Linked DNA regions of Xenopus tropicalis. The protein of the gene in region 1 binds, or shares a complex with, the protein of each later gene. Links are inferred from orthologs where the notes say so. Each region holds a gene or a part of one and is shown on either strand. Other genes may lie near its edges.

Region 1 (4,144 bases):
CACCTTCCCCTAAAATATATTTCAGCGTAAGGAAATATGCAAAGGACCAATTATAAAAAGACAAAAAACAAGGGCAGAAGCAATACGGTTATACCTTCAATTTGGACAGACAGAATTCCTAGGTCCCGTAGTTGCTGGTTGTTACTCTGAGCGAGGAGGCGCAGCCGCTCAGCCGCTTCCCTTGGGATGTTGAACGTTACCCTGACGCTGTTCCATGGCTCCACCTTCTGAACTCTCAGCTGGTCGGACTCTACACAGGGAGGACATGCAATTTGAATGAGTTTGTTTGCATGTTACCGACTAGCACAGGGAAACCCAGGGAGATCATGTATTTGCCCCCCCCACCCCCCATGCCCCTGAATAAGTTGATTACTATACCCATGCTAACGAGGCTTGGAACAGTATTCAAAATCTTGTCTAGCTTTTGCTGGAAATCAGTGTCTCCAATATCTCCCTTGAAAGCCAAGAAAATGGTAGAGTCTGCTTCTTCTAATCTGAGCTCATCTTCTATTCCGGAGTCGGTGTCTCCATCTTGCGGTTGTGAAGGGGACGCAGGAGGTCTGGTCTGGGGCTCTCCTGGGTCAGGAAGGTAGTGGGAGGCCATGACCGTGTGTCTTCCAACTCTGTGACAATGACACTCTGTTGAGGAGTCAAAAAAACACAACACACAAAATGTCAGAGCTCATATCTATAAAAAATAAATGTACAAACGTACAACCTGGATTTGCAGTTCCCTTACCAATAATGTTCCAAGTTCTTCCCTTTTCCTACGTTTCTACACCGTCTGATTTTGTCAGATGAATGGCAGAGGCAGGCATCTTCAGTTATTTCCACTACCAGGATCTCCAATTTGTTAGCCTGTTGAGAAAATTATAAATAACTTAGATACGAGTGAAGAAAAAAATTTACCCCCCCCTTCACTGGTGATAACCACAAAAGTCTATGGAGGGCTAATTGCTTCCCCCTTCCATCTCAGCTGTAAATTGCACTGCCCTTAGTGTTTAAACAATGGCCACTGAGTATTATGCAATTTGGCCAGACAGACAGATATTAACTGGGTTAGCTGAAAAAACTGACCACCTTGGTCCATTCCCAATAGGTCTATACAGGCCTCAACATTACCCAGGCGGAGACTAATCATGTGATTTGGACAAATATCCATGGGGTTAGCGCTAAACAAGCAGATCATAGCATGCATGTCCAGATAACCAGTTATCTCAAGGGTATTTGGGAGAAAAACAAAAGGAAAGACTTTTTGGTATATTCTGAGGATAGGACGACCTTCACTGAAGGCACTCTGAGCTTACAACATCACTGGCTAAACATATGCTAGTCATTGGTACGTAAGCATATGCTGTTGGCTATGGATGTGAACTGAAATGACAAATATTTATAAATGCAATTCAAATACTTGTACAATTCAGAGTGCATCAACTTTGCCTTAGTCGTGTCTCGTTATTGTCATATCGACCCCCTCCAGCCCTAGCCTAGCAACCTTCTTATATTTAATATTTCACCTCTTTAAGATACTTAATGCTTTGACTTCTTCCAAATCCTCAAACTAAAACCTAATATCAGTACATCAGTAACTATACCAGCTCATCACATTAGCCCCTGCCTTGCCCAGCCTAAAGGGCAGTTTGGGTGAGACTGGGGATGCATGATGATTGGCTTAGATATTCCTTGAAGACCATGATGTTGAGCAACATAAGTTCCTAGCCATTCTTGGAACAATCGCAGGATGAACGTTTTCATAAATCTGTAAACTTGCCATTGTTGTAAAGGAGAAGAAGGTTAAATAAACCCAGGCCTGGGTCATTATCTACCTGATGACACAGGGGTGACAACTAAGCACCATTATTATATAGTTTAGCAAAGATGTGCCTGCTGCCTACCTTCTTATCAAGTCCATAACTGGTCACTCACAGCCCCCGTAGCACTGAAAGAGGGAAGGCAAATTGGTGGGACCTTCTATACCTGCCACTTCTATGGATCTGGAGACATCATCATCATTTACTTATAAAGCGCCAACACGTTATGCAGCACTTTATTAAGCAATATGTGGTGTAAAGCCTGATGCTCTAGCCCTATAAACAGCACCCAACCCTTTGCTGCATATCCCAGCAGCCCTCACCAGCCACAGGGTGAAAAGGATAGGATAGGGGGGACATTAATAAAGCCACTGGGTCCTTATATCTCACTTATATCACAATGCTGATGGGGCTTACAGTTAAATATGTCCTTGTAAATAAGCACACCCTAATGATAGTAACATAGTAAGTTGGGTTGAAAAAAGACATACGTCCATCACGTTCAACCATAATGCCTATATCTATATGATGGATGTCAATATCAAATATAAATTACACTAGAGGGTTGTAACATAAGGGCTAGTGCAGCCCCACAGTACCTAAATCCCACTATAAAGAAACATTAAAGGGTAAGTAAAATGCCTTCATTACACACACTGTCTATTATGCAAGCAGACATTTGCAGTGCATAGGACTCCAGCTACCCAGTAGGTACGAATAGGTGTTAATGGCAGATATAAGACCAAATGCACAGTTACAATGTTTACATTTCGCCATACAGGCCCAGTTATGCATGCATATAACAAACATACCCATTCTCATTATTGTGCACCCCCCTCACCTCGCACCGGACACTTGGTTCCTTCCGCTCCCGGGAACAACGAACAGCAACGAGGCCCAGCCCGTACCACTAGCTGCAAGCGGCAGGGGGGTGTTGACCTCACAATAAGCACTAAACTGCAAGGAAGCCGCGCTTGCGTACACCCCTGTCAAAATGGTAGAGTCCGCCCGACCAATGGATTGGCGAGAGGCGTGACGTCAGTGCGGCTGAGCCCAGGAGAGGAGTACGGGGGTAGTTCCGTGCTAGGCAGGGCTACGGCTTGCCAGAAAGTGGGCGGGACTTGCCAGAAAATGGGCGAGGTTGTGCGCAATGAAAGGAAGTGTTTCAGTGTGGAGGGGATGCTGACACCGTCTGACCTCCATGACAGGGACAGAGACACCTGTCCCACAGCTTTAGGGATGTTTTATAGTTTAGCGCTTGGGATGTTCTGCTAATACAGCCTTCAGGCTTGGGAAGTTGGCTTTTATGGATAAGGGTCCTTTCTGGTGGTTTTTTTTTTAAGGCTGCTAAAAAAGACATTTTTTTTTAAAAAAAACCACCAAAATGGATTTATGCAGATTATTTTCTTTGAAGTTTATTGTTCTGCTTTATTATTTCAGAGAGAAAAATTATTGAAACATTTTTGCAACCATAGGGCTCTGTGTGAAACAGCACATGTTGTAAAACATTCCAGAGATGGGTTTCTGGTTAATAGATCCAGCAAACGGCATGAAGGAATGCTGAGAGTTATAGCTCTTAAAGGAACAGTAACACCAAGAAATGAAAGTGTATAAAAATAATTAAGATATAATGTACTGCATTTGCCGAAATCGCGCCGCCGCGTGTGCCACCGGCGACTTACATGTTCGCCGGTGGGATGGCAACTCGGGGAGATTAGTCGCCCGCGAACAGGGAGATTTGTCGCGGGCGACTAATCTCCCCGTGTGCCAGAGCCCTAAAGGAGAAAAGGCAGAGGCTCATAGCAGATAACAGATAAAGCCCCATTATATTCTACAGAGCTTATCTGTTATTCGCTATGTAACCTGTGCCTTTTCTCCTTTTTTCCAGCTTGAATGTCTGCCCCCGGGCTACACAGCGGGGTATTTATATAAACTATAGTAGGGTTTCTGTAGCAAACACCCCAGCTGTACCAGTGCAGGAATGGCTGCCCCCGGGGCTACACAGCGGGGTATTTATATAAACTATAGTAGGGTTTCTGTAGCAAACACCCCAGCTGTACCAGTGCAGGAATGGCTGCCCCCGGGGCTACACAGCGGGGTATTTATATAAACTATAGTAGGGTTTCTGTAGCAAACACCCCAGCTGTACCAGTGCAGGAATGGCTGCCCCCAGGGCTACACAGCGGGGTATTTATATAAACTATAGTAGGGTTTCTGTAGCAAACACCCCAGCTGTACCAGTGCAGGAATGGCTGCCCCCGGGCTACACAGCGGGGGTATTTATATAAACTATAGTAGGGTTTCTGTAGCAAACACCCCAGCTGTACCAGTGC
Region 2 (3,658 bases), on another chromosome or scaffold:
TGGTATTTCAACAACACTTCTGTGCATAATATTAATAAGTACAGATAAAAACATACCACTTAGACTGATTCAGGGCACATTGGTTTATCTATAATATAAAGTTTTGTACTGTTTTCCCCACTGGGGTCTAAGGAAATACAGATTACCTGTGCAGCTAGACCTTAATAGTATTACCTAATTTTAAGCACATAACTGGTTTGCCCTCCATATCTTTAGTATTGTCTGAACAGTGTTAATTACACACGTGTATAAGTATTAGAAATATTTTTCCATAATCTCAAACAAAAAAAAATCTTGCGCACCAACAAATATGCAGTGAGGAAATGATTATATAGAACACACAATTCTCTCATAATAATTTATTGTCTGTAGACTGAAAAGCAAAAGTTAAAGGAACAGTTCAGTGTAAAAATTAAACTGGATAAAATGGATAGACTATGCAAAATAAAAAATATTTGTAATATAGTTAGGCAAAGACGCAATCTATAAAGGCTAGCGTGAGCAGATGTCTAACATAATGGGCAGAACTTTACATCTGCTTAATAATATACCACTGAAGCACTACATTAGAAATATTCTGAAAGCTTATTTCCTTGCAAGGTACAGAAAGCTCAAGATCTCTTACCTGAGTGGAGTTAGTTAGTTGGTTTTTCCACGGCTCCTCTGCGCTGCTGGTCAGGTTTGTGCGGTTATGAGGTAGTGCGAGTGCGTTTCGCTGCGGGTAAGGCACATTTCCATTACTTCCATTTCCCGTAATATGATTATTGCCTATCAACATAGTGTCTGCACTGCCCACTGGCCCTGTGGTACTGCAGGAAACTTGGCCTACTGGAAATGGTCCATTAGCCACAGGCTGCGCAGGGCAAGCCGGACGGATTCCAGGCTGAGCGGCATTAGGCATCCTGGTTAATGCAACCTGATGTTGCTGACCAGTGAGTGAGTTTGTAGGCAGTGTTGAGTCAGCAGTTGGCCCGTTAGCAATTCCAGTAGAACGTACCTGTGAAAGTCCAGTTTGTCTCATCTGTTAGAAAAAAATATAAAAAAATATGATGATGATCATTTAGGCAAATGGAAATAAATTCCTCTAATCAGTAAGTAAACCTAAAAGTCACTACTGAAATAAAGTGCTGTATGAGTGCAACACATTTGTAATCCTTTTAGTGATAACTGTGGTAAATAAATCTAATGGCTTAAATGCCAGTTTCGTATGGTTGAAATACTTAAGAATAATGGAATAAGTTAAGGATTAGATAAGGCAAAGGAAAATACTATTCTGTCAAATCCTAAAAATATATTTTATGCAATTATACATGGCATTGTAATTACAAAAAACTGTATAGACCTCCATTATAGATTTGCAAACTGTGGGGCTGGTCATTTAGGGTGCCAAAATTTTTGCCAAAATCCAGACTAAAATTAGACCTAGATCCTAAAGGCCTGACAGGGTGGAATATCGAGTAAACCCTTTAAATAGATACTGACAGCACTATAGCAGTATGACAAAACCACTTATATTTTCAAATATCTAACTTTGAGAGGAGTCAAGCAGGCACTAACTAAATGCTGGGCCTCAGAGGGACCAAGGTGTTGAATGCAAAAACTTTGGAAAATACAGCTGCAGTAGAAATCTGCAGATCTGCATTATTTGAGTACAGAAGCATCTACCTGCTGTTGCTGCTGCATTAAGACAAACTGAGCCTCCAACTGCTCCAACGCCGCTTTTTGTGCTGGATTCAGATTATTCCTGTTTGCTCGTAGCTGTTCCAATTGCTAAAATCAGATAAGTTAATTTTACATGGTGTAAGACACAAAATCTGCACGTGAAATGCTAATCTTTAAATCAATACTATATTGTAATATGTTTACTATAAGTATTCCATAAAAACTATTTTCAAACATCCTGAGGTCTAAAAGATCAACTGGTGTGAAGATAAGTTTAGATACACAGGGTAGTAAACATTGGTTTTAAGCATTATTTTTTTAGAATTTTAATAAAAAATGTGTTTGTGTTTTCAGGCTTTAAATGTAAACTGCTATTCGGTTGCTATTAGCTGAATTACCCTACCAATAAGACAGAAATATGATAGGGATTTAAATAAATTAATGAAATTGTAATCTCATACACATTACTTTTTGGTTGCTAGAATGCAGCGACCCTGACAGCAAATAGTGATGCACCCATAGATTTTTTTGCTTAAAAATATTTAGTTCTAGCTCTAACCCACCCATTTCTGTGTGCATACATTTTTTGTCCACACAGCCAAGAAATTAGGGGGAACTTCTGACTTATAACATCCTTATATTTTACAATAGAAAATACATTTACTACATATTTTGGCTCGTCTTCACTTCCTCATCTGACTGCAACAAAACACGGACTGGTCATCTGTAAGCCACAGGACCACAGGATTGTCTATAAAAGTTGACCCTTAAGCCGACATTCATGCTCAGATGGTCTTGCAGTTTATATCCCCCAAAAACTTTAACCAAAGCTGGAAATGTACCTCATCTAGCCTAATATAGCTTCAGTATACACTACATGCTTTTAAGTGCACTGTCAATACCCCATGCTCACCCCATGCTTGAGCACTTATTTAGAATGGATTTTAGCACAGTAATGCAAAAAAACAAAAAAAAAACAAAATGCACTTTTGTGCCAACACATATCTACACACCAGCAAAGAAAAAAACCTGTGTACAATTAGCCTTAACCCCTTGTATTGCTTATCAGTGTGTGACCAGTATGTTCAATATATACACCATTTTATTTTACAGCACTGAATAATATGTTGACATTTTATAATTACATTAAAATATGCCCACATTTCCACTTTAAAATTGCAAATATTTACAAGGATCTTACCATGACAATATAGGAGCAGAAAAGTGCTTATTGTAGGGCAAAGGTTAGGGCAAAGGTTACCTGGCATAATATAGAAACTTTGGTTTTGGGAGTGTCACTTTCAACCAATGCCTTCTCTAGTTTCTTGTTATGTAAACCCAAATGTAGGTCAGAAGATGATGCTAATGAAGATTGTTTGATTTTCATCAAAGCCAATAAAATATCTTAACCTCCCCCAAAAAACAAACAGTTGTTTGGATATTGCATTACTTTCAGTGCTTAATTCAAAACTAAAACAACCAAGAGAGAGACAGAAACAGCATAGGACTATTCATACCTGTACTTTGTGTGGCGGCAAACACCACGAATGTACTTGTTGCTGTCCTGGAGTATGTGACGCCAAATGGCCACTGCTCCAGGTATCAGAAGTATTCTATTGAAAAAAGAAATTATTGAGAACTCTTGATAATAGAACACTTTTAAACTGTATTCCAACTGCAATATGTTACAGGCAAAACAATCTATGTTCTTCAAATATTTGGTGCAATACTTAAGCACATTCATATGAAAAATTATTTGAGCGAACTTTCCTTCATTTTACATGTAATTAACTTAAATGAAGTGGATGGTTTAAAAAAAATAAATAAATAACAGCATGGGCCACATACATTTTTGGCATGTGAAATACCTTTGCTGGACTAGATGTTCTTTTCCTCTTGGCAGGACTTGACAGTTCATCTACCTGGCTAGAAGGAATCATGTGTAATGGCAAGGACTGCTGTGAAATTGGTGTTTGACTGAGGCCTAGTACAGATT

The links. Proteins that work in one complex are often made in the same cells at the same time.
Region 2: ncoa6 (region 1) and kdm6a share a complex: the UniProt entries of both Homo sapiens proteins name them as parts of the MLL2/3 complex. The link is inferred for Xenopus tropicalis from reciprocal best matches to the Homo sapiens genes NCOA6 and KDM6A.

What each region holds. Positions count from the first base shown.
Region 1 is NC_030686.2:41,065,718-41,069,861, reverse strand, and holds the start of ncoa6 (nuclear receptor coactivator 6), read right to left. Parts: upstream 2,817-4,144; 5' UTR 2,624-2,816; intron 859-2,623; 5' UTR 740-858; intron 640-739; 5' UTR 605-639; coding exon 379-604; intron 251-378; coding exon 95-250; intron 10-94; coding exon 1-9. UniProt on the Homo sapiens protein: Nuclear receptor coactivator that directly binds nuclear receptors and stimulates the transcriptional activities in a hormone-dependent fashion. Coactivates expression in an agonist- and AF2-dependent manner.
Region 2 is NC_030678.2:55,786,489-55,790,146, forward strand, and holds part of kdm6a (lysine-specific demethylase 6A), read right to left. Parts: coding exon of another isoform or gene 3,531-3,658; intron 3,276-3,530; coding exon 3,180-3,275; intron 1,771-3,179; coding exon 1,666-1,770; intron 1,022-1,665; coding exon 626-1,021; intron 1-625. UniProt on the Homo sapiens protein: Histone demethylase that specifically demethylates 'Lys-27' of histone H3, thereby playing a central role in histone code. Demethylates trimethylated and dimethylated but not monomethylated H3 'Lys-27'.